Linked DNA regions of Danio rerio. The protein of the gene in region 1 binds, or shares a complex with, the protein of each later gene. Links are inferred from orthologs where the notes say so. Each region holds a gene or a part of one and is shown in the gene's direction. Other genes may lie near its edges.

What was found.
Region 2: lin9 (region 1) and e2f4 share a complex: the UniProt entries of both Homo sapiens proteins name them as parts of the DREAM complex. The link is inferred for Danio rerio from reciprocal best matches to the Homo sapiens genes LIN9 and E2F4.
Region 3: the proteins of lin9 (region 1) and lin52 are in contact, whole or in part, in a crystal structure (PDB 6C48), measured with the Homo sapiens proteins. The link is inferred for Danio rerio from reciprocal best matches to the Homo sapiens genes LIN9 and LIN52. Residues at the interface, in NP_001353174.1 of Homo sapiens: Leu335, Gly336, Phe338, Phe342, Leu343, Ile344, Val346, Thr347, Leu349, Ser350, Lys351, Leu353, Met354, Lys356, Lys357, Ile360, Leu363, Arg364, Asn367, Thr368, Ala370, Glu371, Lys374, Ile382, Phe384, Gln385, Tyr388, Ala389, Val392, Leu395; in NP_001019845.2 of Homo sapiens: Asp61, Met64, Leu65, Leu68, Gly69, Leu71, Thr72, Thr73, Leu76, Met77, Val80, Leu83, Gln84, Leu86, Ala87, Leu90, Asp93, Glu94, Glu97, Met98, Arg100, Gly101, Leu104, Asn105, Ile106, Leu107, Glu108, Pro110.

What each region holds. Positions count from the first base shown.
Region 1 is NC_133195.1:47,009,945-47,013,598, forward strand, and holds part of lin9 (protein lin-9 homolog), read left to right. Parts: intron 1-3,307; coding exon 3,308-3,409; intron 3,410-3,477; coding exon 3,478-3,558; intron 3,559-3,654. UniProt on the Homo sapiens protein: Acts as a tumor suppressor. Inhibits DNA synthesis. Its ability to inhibit oncogenic transformation is mediated through its association with RB1. Plays a role in the expression of genes required for the G1/S transition.
Region 2 is NC_133200.1:18,362,929-18,366,582, forward strand, and holds part of e2f4 (transcription factor E2F4), read left to right. Parts: intron 1-536; coding exon 537-698; exon of another isoform or gene 699-710; coding exon of another isoform or gene 711-721; intron 722-3,654. UniProt on the Homo sapiens protein: Transcription activator that binds DNA cooperatively with DP proteins through the E2 recognition site, 5'-TTTC[CG]CGC-3' found in the promoter region of a number of genes whose products are involved in cell cycle regulation or in DNA replication.
Region 3 is NC_133192.1:33,276,391-33,280,843, reverse strand, and holds the start of lin52 (protein lin-52 homolog), read left to right. Parts: upstream 1-1,603; 5' UTR 1,604-1,615; coding exon 1,616-1,634; intron 1,635-2,222; coding exon 2,223-2,297; intron 2,298-2,456; coding exon 2,457-2,494; intron 2,495-2,570; coding exon 2,571-2,637; intron 2,638-3,564; coding exon 3,565-3,648; intron 3,649-4,453.

The sequences.
Region 1 (3,654 bases):
CTGTATGACTATCTGGTGTAGTGTTCTGTCACTGCTTTATTCACAGTACAAGATGGATCGGCGACAGGGGGTTGGTTTAACTGTGCATAACTTTACAATAGGAAGAATCGGCGACAACTTTGTCTCCGTCTGCTAACTACGTCTCACAACCAAACACACGCGAGAAGTGACATGAAAACAACACGAAGCCACGTTGTATATCTTTTGTTATTGACTACATAATGAGAAAGAACCCTTTAGGGCAGTGGTCACCAAACTTGTTCCTGTAGGGCCGGTGTCCTGCAGATTTTAGCTCCAACCCTAATCAAACACACCTGAACAAGGTAATTAAGGTGTTACTAGGTATACTTGAAACACCCAGGCAGGTGTGTTGAAGCTTATTTCTTTTTTGACTCCCTTGTGCTATTGCTCAGATGACACGTCAAACTGACAGGAATGCTGCTGCCAAATTTCCAGTAGTTTTTTCTCCATTTCTTGGGCCCAAATAGATTGAAAAAAGGCCCTTAACTTCTCCCCAACCTCCCGCTGGCCTGCAGATACCCAAACTAGTGGATGCTGCTCTCTCATTGGCTGTAGGTCATCGGCGATGTTATCAGAACTCATTTCACACGGCATGATTTGAATCGCCGACTGCTCCAGATATTTAGCATGCCAAGTATCTCACGGGTGTCGGCGACTTATCTGCGATTCTCTCAGCTCACCTCTTTGATACTTCACACTATGTGATTGCAGGGGTGATAGCGTTCCGGCACCACGCCGGATTTCCGGCGTACTGTGGCTGCGGGGAAAAAAAAATCAGGTTCACGGATATTGATCTGTCATTTCTCTAGATTCACAGAATTCACTCACTGCTGAAAGCGCCGGATTGGTTTTTATTAAGTGCCATTTTGTGTGCTCGTGAATCATCTTTTGAGTGTAGACGCCATGTAAATAAAAGATTAATTGTGTAATTTAGAGAGCTTTATAAATTATAACGAATCTTTGTGAGATCTCTATGAACTAAGATAAGTGACGCTTTTTAGTGATAATAAGAGAAGCGTGCTTTGCACTTTCCAGGCTATAATCCATTCAGAATTTGTATGAAACTTTCGTTTTCGGCACATATACGCTGATATGTTTTGGGAATGACATCTGCATATTTACGCTGGGTTTATTCTCGAAATAACGGTGAAGAAATAGACGGGACAAAAATATATTTCCCCCTTCTCCTTAAACAACTTAGTGTTTCAGCTATGAAAGAGTTCAGTTTTGTATGTAGCCTAATGGCAAAGTGTTTATATTTAGTTTCGTTTTTTATTCAGCTTATTTAGAAAAACGTTTGGAGCATTTTTTATTCGTTAAAAATACGTTTTTTTTTAACGAACAGCGCCCAGCGGAAGACCATCATTGTCTGTTTGATCAGTTTGCCTTCTCAGATCATCACGACTTGCCTAAAATAAAAGATATAAAACAGTTCAAGTATAAAACAATGGTAGCTTAAACGTTAAAGAATGTGTGCTATTAGGCGCATAGTTTGCTTATAAAAAGCTTGCAGGACATCGAGGCGCCAGAGCAATCACTTGCATTTTTTCAGTGGGAGCAATTTAAAGTTATCCGTCATTTTTGCTCACAAAGTACGAGTAATACATCAAAAAACGTTACAGCGTTTTTATAAAATAAAGAAAACCAAAATTATGCGCTTTCTGTCGTCTGGTTTTTGAACAGGAGCGCTTAACAAAATGAAGCAAAATGTATATGCCGCACAGACATAATAAATATATTTATAGAAAGGTTTAAATTATTATTTAACGAAATAAAACAAATCGAAAACAAAAAAACTCCTTCATGTAATCCGTAAAGATGAATTTCTTTCTAAAGGCGAGTCCAAGAGGAGATTGCCAGTCAGGATCTTTGCGACACTGACTCAGAATAAGTTTATTAATAAATAATTAAGATATGTCCTTACTCTTTCCTCGACACATTCATTGTTATTTGTTTTTGCCGGTGCTTGGGGCGAGTTTTAGCTTATTGTGTGCGCTTGAACGCGGATTCACAGTAGCAGTTTTAACATGGAGTGACACGACATCTGACGTACAGATGACACTGGCACATGCCACTGAGTGTAGTGACACTTCCGGTGGCACGTCCGGTTTTCCACTGTCATGTGTCACTCGCTAGTGGCATGTGTAGTGACCTGTGTCACTCAGAGTGTCCCGCTGCATGTCACTGCAGTGACATCGACACCCTGCGAAGCTTATGACATTAATTAACACGAGTAAAACCATATTTAATCATTACGCGACTTTTAACCTAATTCATCGCGTCGCAAGTTAGTTTATTTGCTGAGCTACTCCACGATGTTTTAATTTAAATGCATTTATTTTATGTATTCGTAGTCATACTTCCGTACGTAATATAGTCATTTGACAGTACATGTCAGTCAAATTTATTGTGGCATGCTTATGTATGGGAGGGGTTACACTTATCTGTTGTGCTGTATATTATTGCATCCTAGCAGTTCCTTTGTTCCCTACAATATGGACTTCTCTATGTTTTTAATTCATTCATTTATTTTATTATTTAACTTATTTTCATTTTAAGGTATTTTAAATAATATCCTTTAAAAAGTTATAATAAAATGCATGTTGAAAACTCATAACATATATGCATGTAAGATAACAGGTGTCATTTGCCTAATGATTTTTAAATATTAAAGCAAAGAGACTTATAAGATTAATGTGCTTATAACGTGCTTATACTGACACCTACTGGCACATTTCACAAGATCACTGACACTGGCATGTGTCACTGACATTACTGGCATGTGACTAAAAAGAGCCACTTGACAATAATGATGATCAGGGTTACACATAGGCTGTTAATATATTTGGGCCCAGGGGCCCACAAGTTATGTGTTAAAAGTGCGTTGCATACATAGTACCCCTACCCCTACTCACCTCAGGGGCAAGGAAAAAAAGTTCAGGCTCAGGAATTTTTTCCACTATCAGCCCTGTGATTGTTACTCACAAGAACGAGCACCGATTTAGGAACTATCACTGGAACGAACACCTGGTTCAGGTGGGACTTAAACCTGCAACCTTCTTGTTGTGAGTCGACATTGCTTACCACTGAGCCACTGTGCTGCCTCTATATTAAAATGAATAGAATTAAGTATAAATGAACAAAACAGTTTTGTAATGATGTTCAGTATAATTACAGGGTCTGATTTGCCAGTTGAGAACCTTTGACACAAAACGTTGATGTTCCTTAATCATTTCCCGAAATCTTTTGGAAAGTAATTCAGAGTCTCTCCTTGCTCTGTTCTCAGGATAATGACCCTCTGTTCAGTCAGTCCCCCTGGAGAAGTAAACTGACGGGAACCGACGGAGAGACTCTGGGTGGATTTCCTGTCAAGTTTCTTGTGCAAGTGGTGAGAATCCCGATCACTGGTGTTGCTTATGTATTTGCCGTTTATTTTAACTTTGTTTTTTCTTCCAGACTCGCCTGTCCAAAATCCTCATGATTAAAAAAGAACACATAAAGCATTTGAAGGAGATGAACACAGAAGCTGAGAAACTGGTGAGTTTTTGTCGAGCTCATGTTTTTTTATTGTGCAGGTTGGATTTTTCATGCTCTACACATTTTTACCCTAATTTAGAGTTTGGGTGAGTGGGA
Region 2 (3,654 bases), on another chromosome or scaffold:
GATCCTTGGTGATTAGGATAAATGTTGAGTAAAAATCCAGAGCTTATCATCGTTATTGACATGAATTTTATTGTGATTCAATATAATATTGTTTTAGGCCCAGCCCTAATAGAAAGCATATTGAATGCAAATAAAGTGTTTAAAATTTTTTAGCTGTAGCTATAATATTTGTGAAATAAATATATAAACCAATGATTTAAACTTTAAAGCTAATTCAAACTTTCAGACGAGACTTTGTCAAGCCACCATGAAGTTTATCTACGAACTTGTCTATTTTACTGTATTTTTGATCTGATAAATGCAGTCTTAAAATCATTTCAAATTTGAATGGCAGCAATGTTTATATTATTATTATTATTATTATTTGAAATATTACATAAAAATTGGCCAGTTAAATGATTAAAGGTTTATTTTAGTAGACCGCCACAAAAGTACTTCTAATTGCTCTTGCTATTTATGTTTTAGAAACACGTCTGCTTCAATGTCAACTAATTCATCTGATCTAAATGTCTGTTTCTATTTTTGTATGTTTGTAGGGGTGTTGGTCCGGGTTGCAACACGCGCGAGATTGCAGACAAGCTGATAGATCTCAAGTTGGAACTGGAGGATCTGGACAGAAGGGAGCATGAACTGGACCAGCAGAGAGTTTGGGTTCAGCAGAGCATCAAGAATGTGACCGACGACTCGCTAAACAGCCCATATCCTTCTAGATGCCTCAATCGTTTTTTTGTTTTCTGAGTGGTGTTCTCACTGTGCCGTGTTTAAAGGAACAGTTCACCTAAAAAAAATAATTAAGTGTTAATTTAATCACGCTTATGGTGTGCCCAAGATGACTGTGACGTTTGATCTCTTCAGTGGAACATTAAAGATTATTTTTAGCTGAAACTATGGTGATTTGTAAAATGCATTTTAACTTTGGGTCAAAAAAAAAAAACATACACAGGCAAAACAATATTAATGTATGTTACTATGGATGAGCAATAGGGATGCAACAGTGAACAAAAGTATCGACCTGTTGTTCTTCTAAGGTTAAGTGTGTCCTGTGATCCGCTGTTCAGAATATGCATTTTTATACTGGTTTGTCAATAGAAACAACTGAAAAAAAGCAATGTTCCACCTTTGTACTCTTCCAATTACCTTTCCCATCCATTGCACGTGCAAAGACCTGTCCAATCACCTCTTAGTATGTAAATGTGTTGTTGACATCACGTTTCCTCACATGTCGGCGTGTGCATGTGGAGTTTCTGTGCGTTTCAGCTTGGCAAGTGAAGGAGATAAAGCACAAATGCGCAGTGTTGCCAACTATTTTCAATGAAAAGTAGATAAAGCCTGCCCTAAAAATAGCTAAATGTTGCCAAATAACGTCACACACTAATTTGCATATCAGTGACATCATCACATAGTATCTGACAAACGTAAGCCTGTCATGTATCTATTCTCTAAGGCACTGTGTATTAGATTGTTAAAACAATACATTCAAATGCACAGTACATAGGTTCTTATTAACAAATTACTTTGCGTGATGACATTGCGTAACCACATCTCAAAACTACATCTTTATGCAATATGCAAAATTATGAACGTTTTCTCAAATTGACTGGCCATCTCAGCAAAAACATTATTTGAAATATGTCCATTTAGATTTGTATGAAAAATAGAGTTGACTATTTGTAAAAGTATTACAAACACTTTTTGATAATTTAGTTTTATTTTTAAATAAAACACTGATAATGAACAGTTACATTCTTTTAAACAATCACAGCTTGTGTACTTTTTTAACTTGTGAAATTAACACATTTGTGAAAGTGAAGACAATTGTAGCACTATTGAAATTTATTGCTAAATAAATTACCAACAATTTTACATGTTAACAAATATCAGTAAATTAACAGTTGAGCAGCTAGCAGCTGAGTGAAGCCTGCAGCCACTGCTCTTTTGAGTCACTTTTTAAAATTGCTAAAAGTAGCCAAATGATTGTTAAAAATTGCTAAATTTGTTGCTAGGTGCTTATTGAAAAAAAGTTGCTAGGGTAGTATAAAAAAAAGTTGCAAAATCTAGCAACAAAATTACTAAGTTGGCAACATTGCAAATGCACAGGTGAGACCAAATCACAGCGCGCTGCTGTCAGCGTTTAATCAGACACTCAATATAAATTCAGACAGACACAAAACCATAACGATTGCCATTTTTTGTTGTTGTTGCAAAGATAGCCTAGATCAGTGGTCACCAACAGGCGGATCGAGGTCTGTGTCCAGACTCAGAAGCATCCTTTTCGGACATGGACATACCACAGGTCTGTTACTTCATACCCACTCCTTCTGGGTGTTCTTCCACACCTGATCACTCCCTCTACTCTGTTTACCCGCTGCCTTCTAAGAACAGTTTTCTTCTCTATGTACCGTTTCCGTTGAAATAAGAGAGAAGAGCCGAACACTCTTCCTTTGCTTAATGCGGAATTCAGACTGCATGATTTTCAAAGTAGTCGTGTCACGGATGTTTTCACACTGCATGACTATCTGGGCTAGCATTTTGCCGCTGCTTTGTTTACACTGCAAGATGGAACGGCGACAGGGGGTTTCACACTGTATGACTTTACGATAGGAAGAATCGCAGACAACTTTGTCCAGACTACATCTCACAATCAAAAACACGCTGTATATCTTTATTTATTAACTACATAACCAGAAAGAAGCCTTTAATGGGGTAGAAAATGTACATATTGGCTGACTTGGGTTTGAAGGTAATTAGCAATTTCTCGTCAACTTTTTTTCTTTTTTGACCTGATTGTGATATTGTTCAGATGACACGTCAGACACGGGTGCTCCTGCCAACTTTCCACTAGTTTTTCCTCCATTTCTTGAGTCCAAATAAACTGAAAATGAGTGCTTTTTACTTCTCCCCTATCCTCTCGCTGGCCTGCAGGTACCCACATTAGTGAATGCTGCTCTCTCATTAGCTGTATGTGATCGCTGATGTATTTTCAGTCTAAACTCGTATCACATGGCATGATTTGAATCGCTACGGGCATCGGTGACTCAGCAGCGATTCTCTCAGATTCATTTTGGATAGTTCATGTTGTGTGATTGTCCCTTGCATGAACTAGCACCATTTTGCCTCTGATTTCAGGCATTTGTCGGCAAGTCAAAATCAAGCTAAAGTCGGCATAAGTTTCTTTCACTACGATGGTGCTAAGTGAAACAGAGCTCTCTGGAATCATAATAAAATCATAAATAACGATGCGCTGTTGCCTCGGTAATGCAAGCATAATGTAAACAGAAGTAATCAATACTTTAAAAGTGCTCAATTATTAAGATGTGTTGACATAATTATTATCTGCATAGTTGGTTGAGACTGTTGAGTAAAAATGTAAAACAGAAAAAGGGGAAATCTAAACTTATTTTCTTAAGCAATTTCCTTACAATTTTCAAAATGCCCTACTTTAATTAATGCAAGAACATGCAAATCCACAGTCATGTGTGTGAAGCTGTTGCATTGTCAGGTGTTTGTTAACAAATAAATGTGTTTATTGTTCTTTGAATTGTTCTGTAGGCATGTTTTTCCTGAGCATAGCACAGACTGTACCTTACTGAAATTGTGACTCTAAAACAGTGATGCATACTGGACCGTGAGTAAATTGAGCTGTTACACCCCTAA
Region 3 (4,453 bases), on another chromosome or scaffold:
ATTTCTGTTTTAAAACTGTAATGTAATGAGCAGTCTTTCCTGAAAAGTTCAGTTGAGTTCGTGTTTGAATTGTTGATAAAAAAATTGTTTGCAATATTGTCTTTAAATTATTGTCTTAAATGCAAATTGTAAACAGACTGACTCAGGTGCATTTATTTGGATTTAGGTTGTGTTGCATTTGATACCAACACATTTTCTGGCTCAATTGACTGAAAATATATATGTTTTTCATTAATCACCAACATTGTAAGAGCTCTGTATTTATACTTGAATTTTACTTATTTAATTTTACTAATTATTTTATTTTTCCAAGTATAATAAAGTGACCTTCTGTCTTTTAGAGACATGATCTGTACAGAGGTGTTGATAGTTATTTCTTCAACCAGTTTTACAATACCATCCCTTTTTTAATGTCTTTTAAATGGGCCTTTTCGTATAATGCTATGTACAAAGCATTTGAAAATGGGTTGATCAAAGTAATAATGCTACAGTGAATGAATGATGTTTCTTTAGTGTTTTAAAATAAATAAAATGAACACTCTGTTAAAAATATTGATATGATACGTTAAAATGTGCTGAAACTAGACTTGTTTATGTTTACCAATAATTTTTATTTTTGGTCTATTTATAATTACTGCCTTTTTTGTAGCTGTACAGAAGTTTGTTCTGCTGTGTTTTTTGGCCTGACTGAGTCTTGAGTCTTATATTATATTAACACTATCATAATACTACTCAAGTACTCTGTATGAAAGCTAAACATATTAATGTTCGCATATTATTCATATATATTTTTACTTATTTTGCAAGAAAGAACGTTATCAAAGACACAGTTTAAACAAATAGACAGAAATGAATTCATAATTAAAATTCCAGCAAATTAAACAAGTTTAAATGATTTACACCAAGAAAGTGTTTTACATGCAATATAACTGTTAGGGTCTTTTAAAGAGTTCACATATAAAGTAATTTCTTAAAATAAAAAAGTAGGGTGTTTCTTTGAAAATTTACATTTATCGATGTAAATTTTAGGGGGGGGGAAACAATTAATTACAAATTTACAAGAATTCAGAAAGTATCTAAAGAATATAATTTTTTGTGGGAAATACAAAAGTTTGGAAATAATACAATTTTTGTGAAATTGGAAAAGTCAACCCAAATGACTTTACAATAAGTGCACTCCCAAAATAGGCCAAAAAGATTTAGTGTTTCACCATATTGAGTACAAAATGAGCATTTGAAGGAAATATTGTTATTAAATTTACCTAGTTTGTTGTTTATTGGGTAGCAATTATGAATGATTCTGATTGAGACTTCAACAGCTTTATTAGATAAAAATATGTATTTTTTCCGAATACCATCCAAGATCAATATCAAGAAAAGGCCATTAAAGACCATTAAAGAGATCAGAGAACTGTTAACAATAAAGAGAATCACTTTGTTTGACATAGAACTGAGAAGAGTTTGGTCAACAAAAAGGTTTGTGCTGTCAATAATATTTATATTCATATTTTTCAGTCAATTATTGCGACATCATTTTACAACATAAGAGGGTGTGGCTATTTTATCCAAGACCTCCAGTGATTGGCTGCTTAGAATCACGTGTGTTGTTGTCAAGATGGCGTCTCCGAATGGAGGTAAATTTTAATTCCTCTTTTCCCTGGCAGCGTTAGTTGTTAACGCAATAGTGCAACGGACTAATTAAGTCATATAAATCATTATGCGGTTTAGCATATTTTTTATAAAGAACTGATGGATTCTGAATCAAAATAAGCTTTTCAGTCGGAATAGCGTCATAAAATTGTTTGGAGCCAGTCATTAGCAAAGCTACGTGTCAGACGACATCAGTTGTGTAGTAATAATTTAATACGAATGTAATAGTGTAGTAAATACGCGAAGACATATTACTTTTGGTGTGTCGTGATTTTATCTTTAACGTTAGTTATGTAACTCATTATTTTGTGACAAGATTACTCAATGCAGCTAGCTCAGCTTTGAGTAACTTAGCAGCTGAGTAAACATAATATCTCTGTCATAACATCAGCTTAATTTTACACCTTGAATAATATGTGACAGAAGATTTTTTTTTGTAACGTCATCTAAGCTGAGTTATGTTAAAATTGAAATTGTGTATATTTAACATTTTTTATTGTACTTCAGGTTTATTGATCCTGTTGCTGATGAGTTTTCTCTGACCATAGAGCATTTATCTTTTTAATGTGTAGGTGAGGACTTTGAATCTTCTCTGATAAGTTTAGAAAATCTTGACCGGGCTTCACCTGACCTGTGGCCAGAGCAGTGTAAGTTTGACTCTCTAATCTTATTCAGTTGGACTAATATTTATGACACATTAACATATTTTTCCAAATATATGTAAAAAAAAATGCACTGATTGAAATATAGAAATTACATTTGATTATTACACATTGTCATATTTTTGAACGCTTTGTTTTTAACAGTGCCGGGTGTGTCAGAATTTGCAGCATCCTTTAAAAATGTGAGTAAATATTCAAATGATAATGAATACTTTTCAAAGTTGATGTGAAATTAAGGCTTGGTTTTTGTTATTTCAGCCTATTACAAATTCTCCACCCAAATGGATGGCTGAACTGGAGTCAGAGGATATTGAAATGTTGAAAGGTCTGCCTTTTTTAAAGTAGTATTCATATCAAGTCTTTTAATGTATCATTTAGTCTTTTATCTATGCTTTCTATATATTGCTTAGTAGAATAGGTTAATAATAGTTAGATGAGTTGCTTGGTGAATTCCAGGGTGTCCGCGCGGTCTTAAAAAGTCGTAAAATGTCTTAAACCTCAAAATTACATTTTTATGTCTTAAATTTACTGAAATATTGTGTTGTAGTTCCTAAATGTTAAATTAAATTTTTTTTAAATTAGGTCTTAATTTTCCTTTGTTTATGTATCGCTACGCAGTCTGGCCATTAGTCCTATACGATCACCAACAATTCATCTCAATAAAACCTTTTATATAAAAAGGTGATTTTTAACTCTGTTTACCATAACAGTTTTATTATTTTCCTCAAAATACATAATATTTGTTAAAAAGTGTTCCATGTATTTGCTGCTGAGGACACCGACCTGGACAGATTGTTTTGCATAGATTTAGTTATATTAAAACTTTAAAAACATTAATTCATTTTTTATTGTAAAGAAAGTTTATGTTGGAAAAATAAAGTGTATGTATACAAGTAGAGCTTGTTTGTTTTTAAACAATATTTGAATATTTTTATAAAAAATATCTAAAATATTTATTTTTTTATTATTAAATTATAATTGTATTATTAATATATAATCGTTTTTTGATGGGGCAAATGAAAAATCTTTTCCATCTGGGCCATATGAAAAATTCCTTAGCGATTAGTCCTTTATGAGTCTAAAATTTCATTCATAAGGGTCTTGAAAATGTCTTGAAGTCTTAAATTTAACTTTGTGAAACCTGCAGAAACCCTGGAATTTATAAAAGCTACAGTATAATATTTTGTTTCGGTTCTGGTCCATTTTTATTTTATTTTTTGTAACTTGTTTGTTGTGGCTTTTTTTTTTTTAGAATTAGGAAGTTTGACCACAGCAAATTTGATGGAAAAGGTGAAGGGTCTGCAGAATCTGGCTTACCAGTTGGGCTTGGAGGAGTGTAAGTAATGTCTTACTCAACTCAGAAATAGTGCATTAGTTCACACTGTTTATCTAGTTACGGTATATTGTAAGTCATCCACTAGATGGCGATATTAGAAAAAGAATAAAACTTACTGACAAACACAAACCCAGCTTTTAATACATAAAGACATTTTTCATGTTTTTTGCCGCTGTGATATTTAGGATAGAGTTAAAAAGACAATACAACAAATAATTCATTATATGTAGTCTGGAGCCTAAATCCATCTGAATCCTTGTGTGGAAAAAACACTTATTTGTTATGTTCTATTCGTTTATTTCAGTCTGTAAGTCTCAAATGAATTCCCACTCTATATTTAAACAGAACTGGCTTGTTGCCCAGTGTCTCTGTAATATTATATCACAGAATTGCTAGATGTAGCATTAATCCACGCAGGCAGGATTACAGGAAAGATAAGTGTTTCAGTTATTTTCTAGATGAAAATGGGCATCGAAACATCGCACAATTTGAAAGCGAGTACTGCAGACCATTGGTGAACACTCGTTTCAGATGTATTACATTCCTTCTGCTGATTTGACCTTTGTGTGGCATGTCCCTCAGAAAGCCCTCAACAAACTATGCTTCAATGAGAAAAATCAGTCAAATGCTTTTCTGTCTACTTGATTTTTACTCTACTATTTTGAATAATTTCCATAATGTTACAGAGAGAGGATAAAAAAAGCATCAGTTAATTTAAATAATTCAAAGATATGCATTTATATTGATTTAAAATTAAGCACATGAACCATTTTATTTGATAAAACTCTTACATGCACAACTGTTT